Linked DNA regions of Macaca mulatta. The protein of the gene in region 4 binds, or shares a complex with, the protein of the main gene of each other region. Links are inferred from orthologs where the notes say so. Each region holds a gene or a part of one and is shown on either strand. Other genes may lie near its edges. The genes, in order: STK26, STK24, STK25 and STRIP1.

What was found.
Region 1: STRIP1 (region 4) and STK26 share a complex: the UniProt entries of both Homo sapiens proteins name them as parts of the core of STRIPAK complex. The link is inferred for Macaca mulatta from reciprocal best matches to the Homo sapiens genes STRIP1 and STK26.
Region 2: STRIP1 (region 4) and STK24 share a complex: the UniProt entries of both Homo sapiens proteins name them as parts of the core of STRIPAK complex. The link is inferred for Macaca mulatta from reciprocal best matches to the Homo sapiens genes STRIP1 and STK24.
Region 3: STRIP1 (region 4) and STK25 share a complex: the UniProt entries of both Homo sapiens proteins name them as parts of the core of STRIPAK complex. The link is inferred for Macaca mulatta from reciprocal best matches to the Homo sapiens genes STRIP1 and STK25.

The regions. Positions count from the first base shown.
Region 1 is NC_133426.1:138,541,160-138,546,630, reverse strand, and holds the end of STK26 (serine/threonine-protein kinase 26), read right to left. Parts: intron 5,042-5,471; coding exon 4,948-5,041; intron 4,174-4,947; coding exon 4,111-4,173; intron 4,030-4,110; coding exon 3,893-4,029; intron 2,858-3,892; coding exon 2,833-2,857; 3' UTR 1,037-2,832; downstream 1-1,036. UniProt on the Homo sapiens protein: Serine/threonine-protein kinase that acts as a mediator of cell growth. Modulates apoptosis. In association with STK24 negatively regulates Golgi reorientation in polarized cell migration upon RHO activation.
Region 2 is NC_133422.1:93,156,460-93,161,930, forward strand, and holds part of STK24 (serine/threonine-protein kinase 24), read right to left. Parts: intron 3,245-5,471; coding exon 3,108-3,244; intron 1-3,107. UniProt on the Homo sapiens protein: Serine/threonine-protein kinase that acts on both serine and threonine residues and promotes apoptosis in response to stress stimuli and caspase activation.
Region 3 is NC_133417.1:146,799,481-146,805,746, forward strand, and holds the start of STK25 (serine/threonine-protein kinase 25), read right to left. Parts: upstream 4,061-6,266; intron 4,005-4,060; coding exon of another isoform or gene 3,672-4,004; coding exon 3,642-3,671; exon of another isoform or gene 3,292-3,641; intron 1-3,291. Other genes in the region: uncharacterized protein LOC106992798, read left to right, coding at 3,670-4,004, 4,061-4,727. UniProt on the Homo sapiens protein: Oxidant stress-activated serine/threonine kinase that may play a role in the response to environmental stress.
Region 4 is NC_133406.1:130,140,887-130,145,009, forward strand, and holds the end of STRIP1 (striatin-interacting protein 1), read right to left. Parts: intron 4,047-4,123; coding exon 3,842-4,046; intron 2,077-3,841; coding exon 1,829-2,076; 3' UTR 1,092-1,828; downstream 1-1,091. UniProt on the Homo sapiens protein: Plays a role in the regulation of cell morphology and cytoskeletal organization. Required in the cortical actin filament dynamics and cell shape. Part of the striatin-interacting phosphatase and kinase (STRIPAK) complexes.

The DNA.
Region 1 (5,471 bases), on a different chromosome or scaffold from region 4:
TCAGAAGTGATTGGTTCTGGCCTATTTTACTAAGGAAAGGGACAGTTACACAACAAGGAAAAGGAGGGAGGCAAGTGAAAATGTATGGCCAAGGAGAGGAAAAGTAGTAGAATTGAAGGGTAGCTGAAACAAAAAAGGATGGTACTAATACCAGGGTGAGTTAATGAACCAGAATTCCATTTTTGACCCATTCAAAATTTCTCTAATGGTCCTCCTAGAAGGTATAGCATTCTATTTGAGAAGTTTATTTTGTTTGATTTTAAAGTCCAACATATTTACAAGATAATGTTACTACAAACTTCAAAGAAAGGAGGCAATTCTATAGGCAAGTTATTTTTATATACAACTTAAAGGAGAAAAAAAACTAATGGAATAGTTTCCTTATTCTCCTAGTCTTTATATCAGAAAAATCCCTTTTAATATACCTCATCCCACTCCTTTCCTCCATCCTAGCACTTTCTTGTCTGCTCCCGGACTCATATTTAGTAACTCACAAGTCAAGAGTAACTATCTAATAATAAGAATATATTGAAACCCAATCACCTGGGCTTAATAATATAGTATAATATTAAAATATTATATAATTAATATATGAATATATTAATACATATTAATACCATAGATCCTTAATGCTATGTTAAGTTCACCCTCAACCTCTTCTCTAGGAAAAACTTAAACTCCTTTATGATAATGGTATTTCTCATATCAATTTCTAAAAATCTTCACTAAGTTTATATCTGTATATGATCTCTTAATAATATAATAATCAGGGTGACCATATAATTTATTGTTCAACCCAGGACACTTTCAAGTGAAAGGGGACGTTATTAATAATTTGGTCAAGACAGGAGGCTTAGAAATTAGGACAGATGTTCACTGTAGCTATAATTAATGCTTAATGAAATGTGAAGAGTATCTTCTGGTTTCCAACAGAAACTTCGATTTTAGTGTTTGAACAATAAAGGACAAAGGAGAAATAATTTGAAACACTGAAGTCCCATACCACACCCCCATCTCAAGGAAAACAAACATTGAGGACTGTGAAATTTAAATATTTATTTTCAAAACCCCAAAACACTGGAGTATGCTTCACCTAGAAACAGTTTACAGGACGAATAGCTATAATGAATAAGCAATACAATTTGTATTTGGGATGCAATTGTGTTGTAAAGTTTCAAATAATCAATTTATAAATTTGCTGCTTTTACTTTTACAAAAATATTCATTTAACCCATAACATGAGTTGCAAAATTATCTCCAGACTTCTACAGATTATAAACTGTAATTGTGTTTCAGTTACACAGCGGGTGAAAAATTTAACTGAACCATTACTTCAAAATACAATGCATTAAAAATAATTGTTACAATATAGGCACCAATAAAAAGAATTTTCTTGGCATACAACACCAGAACAACCTTCTCAAGTATCTATACCATGTAAAGTAAAAAGAGGATGTAATGGCCACTTTGACTAAAAACTGTATTCCTTACAGGAAGAATATCTTTCGTCTAATATTTGGCAATTACTCAGATTTTTTTAAAATGACTTTTGTGCAAAAACCAAATTGTGCAGATCCAAACAATTAAACATTAACTATCAAAACTAAATATCAATAATTCTACAACTACTAAAATATAGCCCCAGTTCAGAACTTAGGCAGGCATAATACTGGGCTTAAAAGAAAAAGGCATCACCAACATAATAGTGCCATAAATATAAGTGAAAATTAACTGTGCAATCTAACTTACCTTTGAGTGGACAGAAATCATCCTGTACTATGGTTATTTTCATGTGAACTAGAAAATGCTCACTTAAATATCCTTTTAAAAACAACAAACTGATGCTTATTAGTGACAATTATGAAGAACAAAAATATATAAATAGTTTATAGGACAATTCATTACCATGGCAAAAATATGCTGGTGTAACTTATATTCATACCTATGGATCAGGTATTTAATCACATGACAATCAGCTTTTTTTTTTTTTTTTTTTTGGCTCTCAAAATCCAAGCAGATAGTATGGGATTTTAGTTGAAGATGTAAAACATGAAGCCAGACTAACTCCTCCAACATTACCAAACACCTATCCTTGGGTAAATGATCTTGCTTTAAATTTCTAACCATGTTAAATAAGGGTAAAATTGCCTCTTCTACCTAAAAGAGAATGTAAATACTATACACCAAGAGGTACCTCTGTTGCTGTACATTGCCTGTAAATGCTTCAAACACAGGATCTCAAATGTGATAATCATTGAGCTGCCTGGAATATCATACCAACTTGGTAGAAGAATCAATACTTTTACAGGTTTCATTTAAAAGACTTTACTAAAATTTTCTGTTTTAAGAAGGTATGACTTATTTACACCTCCCCACCAATAGTCATTTTTAGAATACGCATGTTTAAAAAACAACAACAACAACAACAACACTTTTTGAAGCTTGATACTTTACAAAAGCTGAATACTGAGAATGACTTTGAAAGACCTGTACGTTTCATGACTGTAGTCAATTAAAGATCAAGACGTGAAAGGTATTCATCTTAGTAACTTAACTTAAGAAATAGGGATACTTAAAAGCAAAACGGTGTCTCAACATTTACTAGAATACAGGTGAAACTATAGTATTAAAAGTTACTCCTTACAAAATAATCCTTTCAAAATATAAAATGATAAACACCATCACAAAATAGTTTAATAGCTTCTTCCAAATCTTCAGTGTTGCAAAGATCCAAAAGGCACCTGGAGCTCATGGGTTAAGCATTGTTAAGCTTGAAGTAGCTTTGGTGGGGCTCTCTGGGTCCATATGAAACAGAAGCCAATAATAAGTTTCTTAGGGGGATTCGTTTGCTGAACACCTATAAAATTTTTTAAAAATGTAAACAAATGTACAACTATGCATATTTATATTTCTCTTTTGTATGAACTCTGCAATGAAGAAACTGATTCCACAAAAGGGATACATTGTTTTTATGGAATCTCATCATGTAGATGTTAAAATATAAACAAGTTCAAAAATCCCTTCTGTATCTGATTTCACAACTTCCAATTGATTTGTTTTCAAATGGGAGGTCTTCATTAAAATATAAGGGATTTTAAGAGGGGGTTAGGTTTACGAGTACAAGTGAGCCTTATCAGATAGAAAGATCTTTGAGAGTGTGTGATTTCACAGGTCACAGAGTTTGTTCCAACTCAATCCCAGTGGCATCACAAACAAAGAAATATAAAGATGCACTGAGAAGAGATATAACAAGGTCAAGGCTAAAATTAGTATCACCTTATAGCTTGCTTGAGCTAAGGAGTGTATATGTGTGTACATGCATACAAAAGTCTTGTTGAAAATTTTTAAAAAAATTAAATGTAAGAACTTTTTTGAATGTGAACAAAATCAAATGAATATTTCAAGAGACAACATAGAAACTGAAATTGAACATAAGAGCCCTTTTTCAGTCTGGATTGAGTCCCTCTACCTTTTCCTTAACTTTTCATATGGAGGTCAAATGTAGGAACTTTAGCACTGGAAATTATGCAACTAGTGGTGTTTTGTTAAATTCTGAGGGTAGTGGCAAGAAAGAAAGCATTCCCCAATGATATTAATGAGAGCTCAAATGAGAATATGCTCAGTGACCTTTTGTCCATACTCCTACTAGTGGAGAAAGAAAAACAGGCCATTTCATGCAGTGGAAAACTACCTTGTCATGCCTAAAAATTCCAAAAGCTAATGTTTAAGATACACAACAAACAAAAACTATTTTTAAGTATACAACTATGTATTAAAAGGTGACTTTGTTAGGAATAATTGGAATGGTTGAATCAACGAAATTACATTGCATCATAAATTAACATACAACAGAAAATGCAAAATAATTTTTAAAATGACATTTCCAACTTACTTTTGAAATTTTTCAATTAGCTTCTTCACCATTTTATCTGTGATGCCGGGACAGGCGGCTTCAGCCACAGCAATACTTTTCTCGAGTTCTTCAATTGCCTGATTCCTGCTAGCATTATTCTCGTCCTGCTGTTTAAGCTGAGAAAGAGTAATAATTAAAACACTTAAAATATTATACTACTTCAAACAGATATCCAAGGCCAATTAATCTGTACTTACTTCAGCAAATGCAGGTGTGATTATCATAGACAAACAGCTCAGGGTTTGCACAAGATCTTGCTCCTTTGAACAAATGATACAGATTATATACATGAAATTAAAATAATTGTTATGATTTTCTTATTCTTTAACAAATACGAACTAATTTGAATGCCCCACTGAAAACAAAATATTGTATGCAAGGCAAGTCTCTAAGCTTTCTTCCTGTCATTCATTCCCATTCATCATCCAGAAGTCCTCTAACTTCTAGGATTACAATAGACACCTATGATTCCCTGGGCTTATGTATCTCTAGGTGAAATGCACTTAAAAAATACCAATATGGGCCGGGCACAGTGGCTCAAGCCTGTAATCCCAGCACTTTGGGAGGCCGAGACGGGCGGATCACGAGGTCAGGAGATCGAGACCATCCTGGCTAACATGGCGAAACCCCGTCTCTACTAAAAAATACAAAAAACTAGCCAGGCGAGGTGGCAGGCGCCTGTAGTCCCAGCTACTCGGGAGGCTGAGGCAGGAGAATGGTGTAAACCCGGGAGGCGGAGCTTACAGTGAGCCAAGATCTGGCCACTGCACTCCAGCCTGGGCGACATAGCGAGACTCCGTCTCAAAAAAAAAAAAAAAAAAAAAAAAAAAAAAAAATTCCAATATGGCCACTTAAATAACTTCTATTAACTTTTTTAATTAGCTCAAAACTAATGACAAATGAAGCATACTACAAACACAGTGAGGCAGACAGGCATTTGGGGTATTCAATCCTAACAATTTTGGGCCATTATAATCTCACTACATAGTTTGAAAAACTGTATGAAGAGTAAGTAATTGTCTCCATATACATACTGCCCCATTCTGTACTTTCTTTGGATCAGGCTTCTTTCGTACGGTGGTAAAGCTCCATTCAGGATGAGTATTGTTTTCCCTGCTGGTAGATTCCCTAAAGAGATTGCCAAAGATACCTCTATAAGTGACCAAATGATTCAGCTTGGCAAAAATATCAAATCGATGTATGTAGAATCTAAAGGAATAATTGTCCCAATGTTTAAAAACTCCTGGTACAAAAAAGATCTGATCTCAGCTTCAGGTGAATACTACATTTTACTACAGAGTGGTAGTGGAGTGGTTCTCAGCTCGATGTGTGCTTCATTGAGACCTCCTACCAAATGTAAATACCTGTCCCTCACTGCTCCCCACCTATTGAATCAGGATCTCCAGTGGTGTGGCTTGTGATTGCTTTAAGGTTCCATGTGCATCCATGTCCCTACAAAGGACACAAACTCATCCTTCTTGGACTCGGGAAGGGGAACATCACACACCGGGGCCTATCATGGGGAGGGGGGAGGGGGGAGGGGGGAGGGATTGCACTG
Region 2 (5,471 bases), on a different chromosome or scaffold from region 4:
ACTATAGAAATTCTAAAAAATCTTATCTGCACTATAAGGTAGATAAGAAAATTCAGTAAGTTTATAACCTGGGATGACAACAGAAGGCAATGCACCCAAAGATGATGATGAGATTTGGGCTACGGTGGTGGGATCATGGGTAATTTCTGTGTCTTCCAAAAATTCTACAAGATTGTCTCTAGAATACAAAAAAGGGTGAGGACAGGGTCCCCTCAAGACCACGATTCCCTCAACCATTTTACAGCAGACTCCAAGTCACAGGTCCGGGAGAGATGGCTGAGGACGTATTTGGCGAGGCTAATCTCAAACGTTCCCATCTAGAGCTCCTCTTTTAAGGCATCTGAAATACTTGGCACCCTCCCAGAGAACGAATGGTTACATAAGGTCCTCCCAAAAGCACGTGTTAGCCACGGAGCCTAAGACTCAATTATAAAGAAGTACAAATGACTAAATCACAGGATGAGTTGATGTCACACAAAAGAATCCAAACATTAATTCCAGCTGAGACAGAAATAAGTACCATAGAAATTCTAAAAAATGGACCCATACATGATGACATAGTAAGCTCTGAAAATGCTTCAGACGAGAGGCAGCTCTCATTTTTCCTACAGTCATCCACTGAAATAACGTGTTCGGAGCAAAACTGGCAGGAAGTCTAAGCCATGGCCCCGTGGTTTTGGCAGCCAGCAGAGGTGAACACTCAGTGGGAGCTTCAGGAGCAGGGAAGGGAGAAGTGGGGGCCACAGCCAAGCCTGCAGGGAGACGATAAGCACCCCAATAGGCAGGTCGTCTGAGGACAGAGGAGGAAAGAGGGGCACTCATCACAGACAAAGGCAAGAGAGCGCCGACTCGGCCTCCCCTGTGTGTCACTGCAAAGTAAAGTTTTAAACACAACACAGACATCAGGTAGCTACAGACCCACATGAGGTTAAAGAGGGTCATCCCCAGCCACGATGCCCAGTGAGCACGTGCAATGTGCTGCCTGTGAATGGAGATGTGCTGAGTGTAAAGGACACATCAATTCCAAAGACGGTCCCCCCAAAAATGTAAAATATCTTATTGATGATTGTTGGTATTAATGTTGAAATAATACTTTGGATCTGGCAGGTTAAAAATGTATTGTTAAAAGTAATTTCACTTCATTTTGCTTTTTAAAAATATGGCTATGAGAAAATGTAAAATTCTCTTTTTGTTGGGTTTTTAGAGTCAGGGTCTCACTGTGTTGCCCAGCCTGGAGTGCAGAGGTGATCATAGCCGTAGCCTCGAACTCCTCGGCCTGAGAAATTCTACAGCCTCAGCCTCCCAAGTAGCTAGGACCACAGGTACAAGTCACCATGCCTGGCTAAATTTTTTTTTTTTTTTTTTTGGTAGAGACAGGGTCTTGCTATTTTGCCCAGGCTGGTCTCAAACACTTGGCCTCAAGCGATCCTCCTGCCTGGGCCTCCCAAAGCATTGGGATTACAGGCGTGAGCCACCACATCCAGCAGAAAACGTAAAATTCTGCATGTGGCCCCCATTGTACTTCTACTGGCCAGCACTAGTACAGATCAACTTGCCTTAACAACTGAAAGAAGAGGAACAGGGAGACAGGGGTCTGGAAATGGGAAACATGGATCAGTTCAACACATACAAGCCAGGTGCTCTGCCCTGGAGCTCCTGGGGAAATCAAGTCATGTATACAAACAAACAGTTCATAACAATTTCAGGCAATTCTGAACAATGTGGAAAGTATTGGTTCTAAAAGTAATACTACAAAAGCAGAAAACAAAACGCCGAACAAGACAGTAACAATCCTGCGAGTTTCTGGTTTTGTTCTATTTGCTTTATTATAAGGCTCTTTCTAATGAGAAATAATGTCACTAGCATGAGGTATGTGATACTAAGTTTGAGAAATCAAAAAATTTGTGTTCAGGCAAAAGATGGATGACTTTTTCATTCTATTTTCCTGTATTCCTATACTGTTTTGGGTATCAAAGGAGGGAGGGATCATCCTTCAATTGCCTCAAAATTAAAGGCAGCCAATAAATCATTTTTATTTTCTAGCAACTTAAAAAGTTGAAATGGCATACTAAGAAACCCGAGTTCAGAAGCATAAACCGGAAGTATCAGAGCTGTGGTTTTCTCCCGCCACCCCCACTTAGAGGGGCTCTTCACAGGACAGTAGGCAGCCCCTTCAATCACTCCCAGATAGCAAAAGGGACCTCACACGCGCACAACTTCTTTATGTACTGTCAGGTGGGACACATCTCAGGGAAGACCTGGAAATCCCCGTCATCATCACAGAGGCTCAGCCAGCTTTGGTAGGGGCATCAGCCTGGACACCTGAAGATGAATGTCAAGGCAGCAGCACGCCTGGTCCTCCCGGGGTGGGGGAGGACAGCCCAGTGACAAATCACCCTTGGGTCACACAGAGCAGCTGCCCAGCACACATCCACTGCCTCCAAACACCTGCGCCTGTGCCCATGGCAGGTAGGAGGGGCTTGGTTTCCATGGTTACTCCTACAACAAGCTGGGAGGGGGCAGGGAGGGCGAAGCCGTCACCCCACCGAGTCCTCACCCACAGTGTGTGTAACAGGTGGGGCCACTGGGCAGGGACAAAAGCTCCCTACAGGCTGGCACAGATGAGCCCCTACCAAGGAGGCTTGCAGACAAGACACACACAGCTAAGACAGCGAACACACGTGCACCTGCTCCCGCCGAGGTGACCACACCAAAGCTGCTGGCATTTCTCACATTGACTTTAAAGCCAAAAACCAGAGAGACAGTTACACACATCTGGCTAAGAACGATCATTCTCTGGCCAATAATTAAGCTGCATAATTAAGAGGAAACAGATTATTTCACCACCACCCTGTATTTGTGTGGCAAGAGCTACAAACGCACAAAGTCCTGCGGGCTTTTCCAGCAGTTTCCAGATTCAGATCCTTCACTCACATTGATTTCTAGAATTCAACAAAGTCTCCTCTAATTCAACTCTGTGTGTACCCTGAGGCCTGCAAGACAACAGGAACAGACAGGCCAAGAGCGAAGTACCAAACTCACCAACCGAGTCCCAGGCCAAGTGCAGGCCTCTCCTTCCCCAGCCCAGGGGGGCCCCAGGCAGTTACCTCTGGAGCCGCTGCACGAGCTGGGCCACCATGGTGTCGGAAATGCCGGGGCACGCCTCCTCCGCTAGGAAGATGGCCCCTCGCAGCTCTTCAATGGACCCCAAGTTCCCGCCGCATGCCTGGCTCTTCTCCTTCAACTGAAAACACACGAACAGGAAGAACAGTGTGAGGTGCACCAGCTGCAGAACCGGGAAGCATGCTTTTCAAGGAGCAACACAGTGCGTGGACCATGACACCACCCCAGCCCCGGGGTGTCCGGGAAAGGCTCTGACTCGGGATCCAGACCACTTCAGATCCCTGGGTTTTTTTTGTTTTTTGAGATGGGGTCTGGCTTTGTTGCCCACCCTGGAGTACAGTGGCGCGATCTCAACTCACAGCAACCTCCGCCCCCTGGGTTCAAGCAATTCTCCTGCCTCAGCCTCCCGAGTAGCTGGGATTACAGGCCCCTGCCACCACGTCCAGCTAATTTTTGTATTTTTAATAAGGCAGGGTTTTACCATGTTGGCCAGGCTGGTCTCGAACCCCTGACCTCAAGTGATTCGCCCGCCTTGGCCTCAAAGTGTTGGGATTACAGGCATGAGCCACTGCGCCCAGCCCAGATTCCTTCTGAAGAAAGGTGATTCAAATGCTCTGAGAGCAGTTATGTATAGACAGGGTAATCGTCAGACCATAACCGTGACTGTTCTAGGCCAGAACAGAGACGACTAGCTCTCTGTGTGCCTCTCCCGAGTCTCACCATGATGGACTGTACTCTCTGTGCTCTTTTCCCATTTCAACCATAACCTTGTACCAGAAAAGCAATTTCAAAGGCTATCGTAAGTTAATCTAATCTCAATATGAAACTGCCACGTGGGCCGTCAAAGCTTACTTCCTCATGTTAATGGGTTGGTTCTTAAACTCCAGCAAACTGCCTTTGTGATCCACAGTAGTGTCAAAACATTCCATTTCATGTAAGTGGCAGCCTTAAATTCTGGGAATCTCCAGTGTCCTTCCTCTACTCCCAAGAGAAATCACAACAGTACCTTCAGGCACTTCCCTAAGTTAAAGGTCAACTAAGTCTCTCTCTGGAAGGCCCAGAAATGTGAACTGTGAAAGTAAGAGCTGTTCAATCAAGATACAGCATGGCTCAGAACTCGACAGAAGAGGCCCTTCGTGGTGGCTCCAGAGATGATGGACACCGCCTCCTTTTCAGGGAAGTAAGAAACATCTCAGGCGACATTCAGCTTGGTTTGCAGGTTGTTGAACACATGCTGTCATTTCCAAACCCAGCCCTGCCCTGAGAGCCACAGCTTCTCTCTCCGCTGCTGAAGGGGCAGGCAGGAACAGGAAAGTCTGACCTCAGAGGGCCAATGGGTGCGGAGAGCATTTGTTCCTGAAGCTCTTGCTGTCCAAGAGGGCCCACCCCGCCGGCCCCGAGATGGCCACTTGTGTTTGTCTAGGACTCCCCCACAGTATTTACAAGTCCTAACAGGATCATGTACCATCCAGCACTCTCCCTCCTGCCTGTGTCCCGCCTCTAAGTCTCAAAGAAGGAGCAAAGGCAGAAGAAGGGCTGCCCTGGGAGAGGGCCAGTCCCCTCACTGTGTGGAACGTACTGGACCCACCACTGACTTCACGGAGCAACCTGACCTGTGCTCCCTGAAGGAAAGCAGGGACGCCAACGCCCGTCTCCTCAATGGCCTCATCTGTAAACATGGGGCTATAATCCTTCTATTGAGCTTCTGCAACTATTGTATGAAATAATGCACATTAAACACTCTGAACTCTAGGGTAGCAAATATCATTCATAAAAATACATTGGGAAAGATGCGAGTTTAGCATTTGGTTAGCTGGAAAATCCAGGATACGATCGCATTTAGGATATGTCCTGAATACTTATGTCAAAGTTCCTTCATGAGCCCAGTAAAAAAATAAACAGCCTCAGGTAAATGAAAAACTCCATGCACTTTCCCTAACTGCCTGACTGACCCGATTCCAGAGGCCAACGGCAGAGCCGCAGGAGCGCAGCCTGGAAATCCCACGGGGCCCACTCCCATGGGACAAAATGAAGAGCAAGCAGGCACTCAACCTGGACATCCTAGGTAGGAAGAACACAGGTGCCCAGAACCATGAGCCAGGGCTGAAGCCAGACATCCAGCAGGGCCTCCGCGTGCCCTGTGCCTTCCCCGACATCAGCGGGCTCGGCTGTTTCCCACTTGAAGCTGCAGGTGAGGCCTCGGGCCCCGGCCACAGCCCTGCTCGCACTGGGCCCTGAAACTTGCCAGGTCAGAGGCCCTCAGACAAACCCTCCAGGGCAGGGCAACAGGTGCAGGCTCACTGGAGGGCTGGGAAGAGGCACTGGCAGGCTGGGCACAGCCCACGGCC
Region 3 (6,266 bases), on a different chromosome or scaffold from region 4:
GCCACCTGACAGGCAGCAGCTGAGTGACGATACAGTACCCTGGCACCCCATAGCCATTCGGGCCCTCCAGGGCCAGGCAGGAACTGGCCAGGTAGAGGGGAGAAGCCTAAGGCAGGAGCACAGGCTGTGGGGGGAATGCACCCCACTCTCCCACAAAGGGGCTGCCCACAGGTCCACGGACACCACGGCAACCATCTCAGGAGAAAACCACAGCCCCTCAGGTTTTCTGCCACTATATGAAGTCAAGTCTCTCATCATCCAGGCTGGGACGAAGGACCCCTAAAAGGACAAAAGGTGCTTCCTACCTTTGGAGTCCCTTCCCCAGTGCGCACACTCCCTTCCCCAGTGCGCCCACTCCCTTCCCCAGTGCGCCCACACTCCCTTCCCCAGTGCGCCTACTCCCTTCCCCAGTGCACCCACACTCCCTCCCCAGTGCACCCACACTCCCTTCCCCAGTGCGCCCACACTCCCTTCCCCAGTGCACCCACACTCCCTTCCCCAGTGCCCACACTCCCCCCCCAGTGCGCCCACACTCCCTTCCCCAGTGTGCCTACTCCCTTAGTGCGCCCACACTCCCTTCCCCAGTGCGCCCACACTCCCTTCCCCAGTGTGCCTACTCCCTTCCCCAGTGCCCACACTCCCTTCCCAGTGCGCCCACTCCCTTCCCCAGTGCGCGCCCACTCCCTTCCCCAGTGCGCCCACACTCCCTTCCCCAGTGCGCCCACTCCCTTCCCCAGTGCGCCCACACTCCCTTCCCCAGTGCGCCTACTCCCTTCCCCAGTGCCCACACTCCCTCCCCAGTACGTCTACTCCCTTCCCCAGTGCCCACACTCCCTTCCCCAGTGCGCCCACACTCCCTTCCCCAGTGCGCCCACACTCCCTTCCCCAGTGCGCCCACACTCCCTCCCCAGTGCCCACACTCCCTCCCCAGTGCGCCCACACTCCCTCCCCAGTGCGCCCACACTCCCTTCCCCAGTGCGCCCACTCCCTTCCCAGTGCGCCCACTCCCTTCCCCAGTGCGCCCACACTCCCTTCCCCAGTGCGCCTACTCCCTTCCCCAGTGCCCACACTCCCTCCCCAGTACGTCTACTCCCTTCCCCAGTGTGCCCACACTCCCTTCCCCAGTGCACCCACACTCCCTTCCCCAGTGCACCCACACTCCCTCCCCAGTGCGCCCACTCCCTTCCCCAGTGCACCCACACTCCCTCCCCAGTGCGCCCACACTCCCTTCCCCAGTGCGCCCACTCCCTTCCCCAGTGCACCCACACTCCCTCCCCAGTGCACCCACACTCCCTTCCCCAGTGCGCCTACTCCCTTCCCCAGTGCACCCACACTCCCTTCCCCAGTGCCCACACTCCCCCCCCAGTGCGCCCACTCCCTTCCCCAGTGCGCCCACTCCCTTCCCCAGTGCACCCACACTCCCTCCCCAGTGCGCCCACACTCCCTTCCCCAGTGTGCCTACTCCCTTCCCCAGTGCGCCCACACTCCCTCCCCAGTGCGCCCACTCCCTTCCCCAGTGCGCCCACACTCCCTTCCCCAGTGCCCACACTCCCTCCCCAGTACGTCTACTCCCTTCCCCAGTGCCCACACTCCCTTCCCCAGTGCGCCCACACTCCCTCCCCAGTGCCCACACTCCCTCCCCAGTGCACCCACACTCCCTCCCCAGTGCGCCCACACTCCCTTCCCCAGTGCGCCCACTCCCTTCCCAGTGCGCCCACTCCCTTCCCCAGTGCGCCCACACTCCCTTCCCCAGTGCGCCTACTCCCTTCCCCAGTGCCCACACTCCCTCCCCAGTACGTCTACTCCCTTCCCCAGTGCCCACACTCCCTTCCCCAGTGCGCCCACACTCCCTCCCCAGTGCGCCCACTCCCTTCCCCAGTGCACCCACACTCCCTCCCCAGTGCGCCCACACTCCCTCCCCAGTGCACCCACTCCCTTCCCCAGTGCACCCACTCCCTTCCCCAGTGCGCCCACTCCCTTCCCCAGTGCGCGCCCACTCCCTTCCCTGGGTCTGATCGCACCAAGAACCAACAGCACACAGTCACAGGGCACCTCAGAGCTCCAATTTCTCATCCCGTGACCCAAAGGAGCTATTTCTGCAGTTCTTAAAAATAAACTGGTGGCCGGGCACGGTGGCTCACGCCTGTAATCCCAGCACTTTGGGAGGCCACGGCAAGCAGATCACCTGAGGTCAGGAGTTTGAGACCAGCTTGACCAACATGGTGAAACTCCGTCTCTACTAAAAATACAAAATTAGCTGGGCGTGATGGCACACGCCTGTAATCCCAGCTACTCGTGAGGCCAAGACAGGAGAATGGCTTGTACCTGGGAGGCAGAGGTTGCAGTGAGCTGAGATTGCGCCATTGCACTCCAGCCTGGGCAACAAAAGTGAAACTCTGTCTCAAAAAAATAAAAAATAAAAATAAAATAAACTGGTGACAGATTTTTCTCCCAGCACCTTAGTCATGTAAGTTACCAGATACAGAAAGTCAAAAATCTGTTAGCTTAATTCAGCATCAGTCAGCAAGCCCCAGTCCCATCTGTGACCGCGCAGGTCCAGGCTGCCTGGCCCAAGAGCTGCACACGGTATTCCGGGTCTCTAGGCTGGTCCAGTTTCCTCCAAAGCAGCCCTGACTCCAGTTCCTGCCCCTATGCGGACAGACGCCCTTCCTGTTCCACTGCACACCCAGCTCTCAGGAATTCAGCACAGAGGAGTGAACAAGGAGGGCCACACATTTTAGCGGCGATTCCAACACCTTAGGCAGAGCCAAGGCATCAAGGAGAGCAAAACCGAACGCTAAGACGTAAAAAAACCCAGCAGCCAGAGTCAAAAAAATGGGGAGAGGTACACAGTGCAAGTCTCCAGGTCCCAGGCTGGCTGTCCCCACCCTCCTTCCCTGGCATGCCCTGTGGCAGCAGCAGCTGGTCCTCATTCCAGACTAAGGGCTCGCTGTAGTGGCTCCTTCCGAGGCTGTCCCACCAGACGCTTCAAAGTGGCTCCATAGTGGAACCGACTTCTTCAAAGAGGAATGACGAGCCTCCTGTTCGGGCAACCGCCCGTAGCAGGGGTTAAACGGTTCTGAACAGAGCAGCCTTTTCACCTTCCCCTGGGCCAAAGCACACACGCGTTCTCCGCTTTCCCTGCACACCGGCCGCTCAGATCGGCTTCTCCACGTTCCCAGCCCCTCAGCGCCCATCAGGGTCTCCTCTACGGCCCCCGCCCAGCCCAACACGGCCAGAACGGCCGGAACGACCCGTGGCCCGGGCTCAGGCCGCAGTGTGGCCCCTGACCTTCCACTGCCTTCAGATGCCGACACGAGGTTCCCGCCCCGCGCTGGGGGCAGCGTCCTGTCCCGGAGCCGGTGTCTCTTCACGCACCTCCGCCGCCCTCGCACAGGCGGAGCCACCCGGGGCTCGGTGTCAAGAGGTCTGCGAGCTCCTACCACGCAAAACGCCACAAGCACACGGCAGAGCCCGGGGGCCGCCCTGCGCCCACCTCAGGACGGCTCCGCTGGTCGCACGACGCGCGCTCCTTCCCTCACCCACCGCCCGCTCCGGCGAGGCGCCCCTCGGAGCCCCCGGGAAGCTCTGGCGCCCCTCGCTGAGAGGCCGCTAGTCTTCCTGAACTGCACCCTCCTCACCTGGTTGGCAAATCCCCGGAGGTGAGCCATGGCCGGGCCGCCTCAGACCCTCCGCCGACAGCCCCGAGAGGCGTCTGGATCCCGCGGAGAGGCGTGGAGCCGGCTCGCTCGCCCCTGCGGCGTCAGTCCACTGCGAGGGACAGCAGGAGCGGTCGGCGCCCAGTTCAGTCATCTGAGACCTAGCTCCGGGGCGGCGGGCTGGAGGGGGGCCCCAGGAGACCCCCAGGCCATCGGGGCCCCGCCACGCCCGGGCCTACAGCCCAGGCTCCCGGGGACTCGCCGCCCCTCCCGTCCCCGCCCCCACCTCTTCCGAGGCAGCTTCCTCCCGGTGCCCCCGCCCCGGAGTCCCCGCCACCGAGCCCCGCCCCGGGCCCCTCCCTCCGCCCCCTCCCCAATCGCCGCTAACGCGCGCCCGGCAGCGCGCCCACCTCCGCGGGGCTCCATCCCGGCCTCCCCCGGCCCGCTCTGCAGCGCCCGCGAAGGCTCCCACCCGCAGCCTCTGTTCGCCCGGGGACCCCGGGCCTCCCAGCCCGCGAAGCAACGGCGGTGGCGGCAGCGACAGGAGAAAGCCCGGAGGAGGCGACGGCGAGGGCGGTATTCGGCGTCGCGGCCCGCGCACGGCTCTCTGGGACCCCGAGTCCCACCGCCCATTCCGGGCCCGGAAGCCTGCTGGCGTTGGACTACAAGTCCCGGCAGGCCGCGAGAGAGGGGCGGGGCTCACATGCGCGCCGCGAGGCTCTCTGGGACCCCGAGTCCCACCGCCCATTCCGGGCCCGGAAGTCTGCTGGCGTTGCACTACAAGTCCCGGCAGGCCGCGAGAGAGGGGCGGGGCTCACATGCGCGCCGCGAGGCTCTCTGGGACCCCGAGTTCGGCTCCCGAAAGGCTTGGACTGCGTCTCCCAGCAGGGCGCGCGGCGGGGCAGGCGGGGCACGTGGTCGTTGTCGCGTCGCGTCTTCCGTGCCTCGCCCTCGCTGGCCTTCTGCGTCTGCTGGCGCCTGCAGGGCGTCGTCTCCGACGTGACGGCGGCCGCGCGGCGTTTCCCTTGGGCTCTGCCCTGCGCAGCCCTGGTCCGAGCTGGCCAGTAAGGCCCCGCGCCCTCCCCGCCTCGCCCCGAGGATCCACCGCGGCCGCCCAGGCTGTTGGCCTTGTCCTCACGGCTCGGAGATAAGCCGGCGCTGGTCACACCGCGAAACCCCTGTTCGCACCGAGACCCCGCTCGGGATCATGCGCACAGGCCAGGGCGCAGCAAGCCTTGGAGAAGCTACCTGCACAGCCCATTCCTTGCGCGAGCTTCGCATCTTCTGCCTCAGTTTCCTTACCTGTAAAGGGGTGATCATAGGACATCCTTGGTCACACCTTTGTGGGACCCACCTGGGCTAGAGCGCGGTACCCGCCCAGGACAGTGACTGCTGCTGGAAACCGTCGTGGCACTGGGGTCACCTCCCCAAGGTCAGGGAGGGACTTGCAGAGCCCAAGGCTACCTGGTGCACCCCCCTGCCCCGTGGGCCGCCAGGTCATAGTGCCCCCTGTGTGCATTCCCCTGGTGCACCGCAGGGATCCCCACCTGTCCGGTGAGGAAGATTTGTCTGTCCTCCACTCTGTGTCCACCCTTACAGGCCCTCAGTTTCCATGATGGCTCAGCACAGATGACTATCCTGACCACCTCACACCCCTCCTTCCTCAAGAGGGTTCTGGCGTTTCTCTTTGCTCCCTGGTGCGTGTTTTCTCATGGTGCGTTGCCAAGTCCTTTAAGAAGCCATGTTTCCCTGTCATGCATCCAGGACAGCCCCTTGAACCCCTGGGTCCCCATCTCATCACCCCTGCTTGTTGACATACTGACTTGGTTTTGTTTGTGCTTTGACTCCCCAGGAGGAAGTGGGCTTCCTGCAAGCAGAGCTGTGCCCAGGACCATGCCAGCCCATGACAGGCATTCAGTAAGTTTGTTGAATGAATGTGTAATATATGAAGGTAATATATGTATTGAATGTGTGTAAATAGATGCCTGCTGCATCTCTGGCCTTCATGTGGTCAGTAATTGCTGCACTTTTCAGAAGTGTCTAGAAGAGGCTGGGAGCAGTGGCTCACACCTGTAATCCCAGCACTTTGGGAGGCTGAGGCAGACAGATCACTTGAGGTTAGGGGTTCGAGGCCAGCCTAGCCAATATGGTGAAACTTCATCTCTACTAAAAAAAATTAGCCGGGCATGGTAGTGCGTGCCTGCAGTCCCAGCTACATGGGAGGCTGAGGCAGGAGAATCGCTTGAACCTGGGAGTTGGAGGTTGCTGTGAGCCAAGATCGTGCCACTGCACTCCAACCTGGGAAACAGAGCAAGGCTCCATCTCAAAAAAAAAAAAAAGGTGCCTAGAAGAGTTTTCCAGCTTTTATCTGTTTGTGGCCAATTGTTAATACTTTGCTCCTGGCTGCTGTCTTGCTAAGCTGCCATTTGGACTTGAACATCACCATGTCTTTTCCTGCATTGACCTTCCAGGCCCTTCTTCCTGTTTCTCATATTTTCCATTTCTTTTTTGTTGTTGTATACTTCTGTTATTCTTCGGGATTTTTGTTTGTTTGTTTGGAGACGGAGTCTCGCTCTGTCACCCAGGCCGGAGTGCAGTGGCGTGATC
Region 4 (4,123 bases):
GTGACTCAGGCTTCATGGGACAGTACCAATGTGAAAAATCCATCTCTCCCTAATTGAAATCTCAAGATACATATTTCCTACCAGTCCTGGCAAGAAATAGCAGAAAATCCATCATCCACACATAAACTGTCAATTCCCTTGTCCTGTACAAGTTACTTTGGGGCAAAGGGCCCATCAGTCACAGATGGGACTTCCCATCTCACAGACTGTGTGACCACCAGGAGTACACTGCTGCCTTCCACCCCTGCTGTCCCTAACCATGCTGGCACATCAAAAGGCCTGTCTGAGGCTCAGCAGGTCCCAGGTCAGGCAGGCACTGAACACAAGACCCAACGAAGGGGAGATTCTCCCCAGAACATGTTTCCTTTACAAGTCAAGACCCTTCAAGACTTAAGAACCTATAAAACAACTGCGTACAGGTAAAATAAGAGCTTCCAGGAATTCTAAAAAGGGAACACTCCTTTTACCAGCATCAAAACGGTAATATCTTCTCAGGCAGACGCAACCAGGGGTCTGGAGGCCAGAGTGTAGGCGCCAGGTGTCCACTGACACCCACTTCAAAGATTTTCCTTGCTTTTTTCTCAGCCACAGGGGGCTCCTAGCTCCTGGCAACATTGTTTCCCACCATGAACCTGACTCCTGATAGTCTGCTTCCTACGCTCTGAGTACTGAAGTTTCCGCTCAGTCCCAACCACCTGCCCCAGGGAGGACCTAGAGCAGCTGACCCCCTTGCTTTGACCTAGCCCCTCCCTCTCTAGCACTGACACTGGTTTGGCTGAGGCCAGCTCAGTGATGTGATCCAGAGAAACCTGGGGCTCCTACTGAAATTACAGCAAACCCAGGGGTGCAGGACAATGTCTCAGTAAAGTAACCTTGATAGTGCCCTGGAGTTGGGTGAGAGTAATCCCAGATTACTGTGGGGTTAATTTACACTGGATAAATGCCAACTCCCTCTTCTCTTCCCCCAGGATGGGAAAGGCAGGCAGCTTGGCAAGACAAGCAGTGACCAGCAATGCTAGCAGAAAAAAACACTTTCTAGACCTGGAGGAGACATGTAGAGGCCATATTTCCCGTAGACAAGCCAACGGGAATGATTTTTGCTTATTTTTAATGTAAACAGAATACACAAACACATTAAAAACCCCAACATGACACAGGAGAATACACACAGAATTATATATAGGTATTTACAGGCCCTCCAAAGCCAAAAGGAAAAATGGCCCCTCTGGTTAAGGGAAGCTTCTCTTCCTACCTTGTCCCTGTCCAAAATCAAAGTGTGGAGGCAGCTGCAGGAGCCTCTGCAATTACTTCTGCATATAACATAGCAGGAGGCTGGAATAACAACAGAAACCCCCCACCCCCACCCCAGAGCACAACCAAGACACCGTTGTATTTTTTTTTGGCCCTGGCCCTAATCCTAAACTCTCCTCCTTTGCAAGCTGACAAAGCAAGGATTTGTGTGTCTCAGGAGGCATCAGCATGACCCCTGAAATTTAGATGTGCTGTGGAGGGGTTCCCATCCCATTCCAGCTTTCCCAGCCTTGGGCTGATTGTGAAATGAGCCAAAACCAACCATGTCCAAGAGAGGAGGGTGAGAGAAATAAAGGAAGAATGGATCCCAGGCAGAGATGACTGCTTCTGAGCTGGACCCTGGGAACCAATAGGAGGTAAAGCTGGGCTCATCCAAACCCAGGACAGACTGCAGAAGACACAGTGGGGCTGTGCTGCCACCTGGTGGGGAATGGGAGCGCTGCAGCCATGAACTAGGACAGTCCTGCAGGTACCTTGAGATCCTCCTTTCTCTGTTTCAGTCCCCTAACCAACAGCCTTACTGCAGCAGCTCTTCCCAGGAAATGGGCTTGGAGAAGACCTCCCTTTCTAACCAGAGGTCATAGTTCATCTGAAAGTCCTCAGGGAGGTCCACCCGTTGGCCCAGGACACTCTGCAGGCAGTTGTCCACTGGCAGGAAGTCGGGGTTGCTGTGGGCCCGGTCATAGCGCCGGGCGTTGAAGCGTTCAATGTTGGCACGGAGGGCACACTCCTCTGCCTGGAAGTCCCAAGGCCGGGCATCAAGATCTGAGACAAAGCAGGAAGAACACAGTTAGGAGCCACGCCCTGTAGCAGCTCCCCATGGACTCACTGCAGCTCAGGGGCCTGGCCAGGAATATTGAGTGTCAACTAGGAGCAGGATACCTCCGAGCTCTAGGAATTCCTTCCTAGATCCAAAGGAGAGTCAAGTACAAGCAGAAAAGACAGAAGTACCGACAAAGAGGCTTATACTGTAGAGATTATGTAGACCCAGAGAGGGAGAGCCATGTGTACAACACATTTCTCTCAAAGTGGCAACCTCCCTAGCTCTCTGGGGTCAGAGGGAGGAACCTGGAAATCCTCTCATTTGCTCATTCTCTCTCAACTCCCTGACCAGGTACCGTGTGCCACCGTGGGCCTGCACACATTCACAAGGCACTGAGAGTACAGACACAGTCATTTAGCCATGGTGGTATACTCCAGAAACGCAACAATGTGGCAACACACCCACACAGAGCAGCCCAGGCAGGCAGGGGAGACCCTGCGGGTGGAGGAAGAGCGTCTGCAGAGGCCTAGCAGTGGTAACCACACAGCTATGTTAGGGCACTAAGCACTCCTTGTGCCTGGAGCTCTGGGTATGATGGAGGCTGGACTGACAGCAGGTAACGAGGTTGAAAAGGAAGCTGGGTCAGATTACAGAGGAGGATAATGAAAAAGGACGAGGGAGCCTCATGCTTGAGTCTGAATCTAATTCTAAGGGAAACAGGAAGCTAATGAAGGATTTTACTCAGGGAGGTAACAGCACAGAAGCTGCATGTTGAAAAGATTCACTAGGGTGCCGGGCGCAGTGGCTCATGCCTGTAATCCCAACACTTTGGGAGGCCAAGGCAGGTGGATCCCTTGAACCCAGGAGTTCAAGAACCACCTGAGAAGGATAGGCACAGTGGCTCACGCCTGTGATCCCAGCACTTTGGGAGGCCGAGGCGGGTGGATCACTTGAGGCCAGGAACTCGAGACCAGCCTGGCTAACATGGTGAAACCCCATCTCTACAAAAAATACAAAAATTAGCTGGACATGGTGGAGTCCAGCTGTAGTCCCAGCTAGTTGGGAGGCTGAGGGGGGAGAATTGCTTAAACTTGGGGGGCGGAGGTTGCAGTGAGCTGAGACCGTGCCAGTGCAAACCAGCCTGGGTGACAGAATCTCTGTCTCAAAAAAAAAAAAAGAAACAAAAAAACACCCTAGGAAACATGGTGAAACCCTGTCTCTACAAAAAAGATACAATTAGGTGGGCACAGTGGAATGTGCCTGTGGTCCAGCTACTCGGGAGACTAAGGAGGCAGATGTTATGGTGAGCCAAGACCACACTCCAGCCTGGGCCAACACAGCCCCATCTTTGAAACAGGCCCCATCTTTGAAAAAAATTAAAGTAAAAAAGGATCACTAGGGAAATCTAAGACACTGATGGAGGGGAAGGAACTAGAGGCAGGGAAGCCAGTCAAGAGCTGTAAAAGTTTGGGTGGCCAAAATGGGGATGAAAAGAGGGGACATAGTGTTATGACAATTTCTAGAAAAGGAATGACTTGGAGGTACAGGGAGAGATGGGGATGATCGCAGATGCCAAGCCTGGGTAGCTTCTCAAAGTCCTTCCTAGAGTGCCCATCCTGATGCTACAAAAGCAGAAGCTGGGCTCCTTTCTGTTCCTTGGTGGGAAGCTCAGGGCAGAGAAGCACCTGAGCACCACGGGCAGGGAGTGGAAGATGTCACCTTGCCCGACACACTCCCACCCAAATGTGACTGAGTGCAGAGCCTCACCGTTGCCGTATGCCCAGTCGTCATTGAGCCGATGCCGCACCTTCTGGTAGATGGCAGACATGGTCTTCATGTTGCTCTTTCGCCACTGCCGCCCCAAGTATTTGGTCTGTACCTTGAGCAGCTTCAGCACGTAGAGCTGCATCATGGCTTGTTTCACCTTTAGGGCCCGCTTCAAGATGGGGGCTGACTTGAACACCACCAGCATCTGGGAAGGCAAACAAGCAAGCAGCCCAAGCTGAAGACAGAAATAAATGCATACAGCCCTGGTCACGCTGCTGCTTA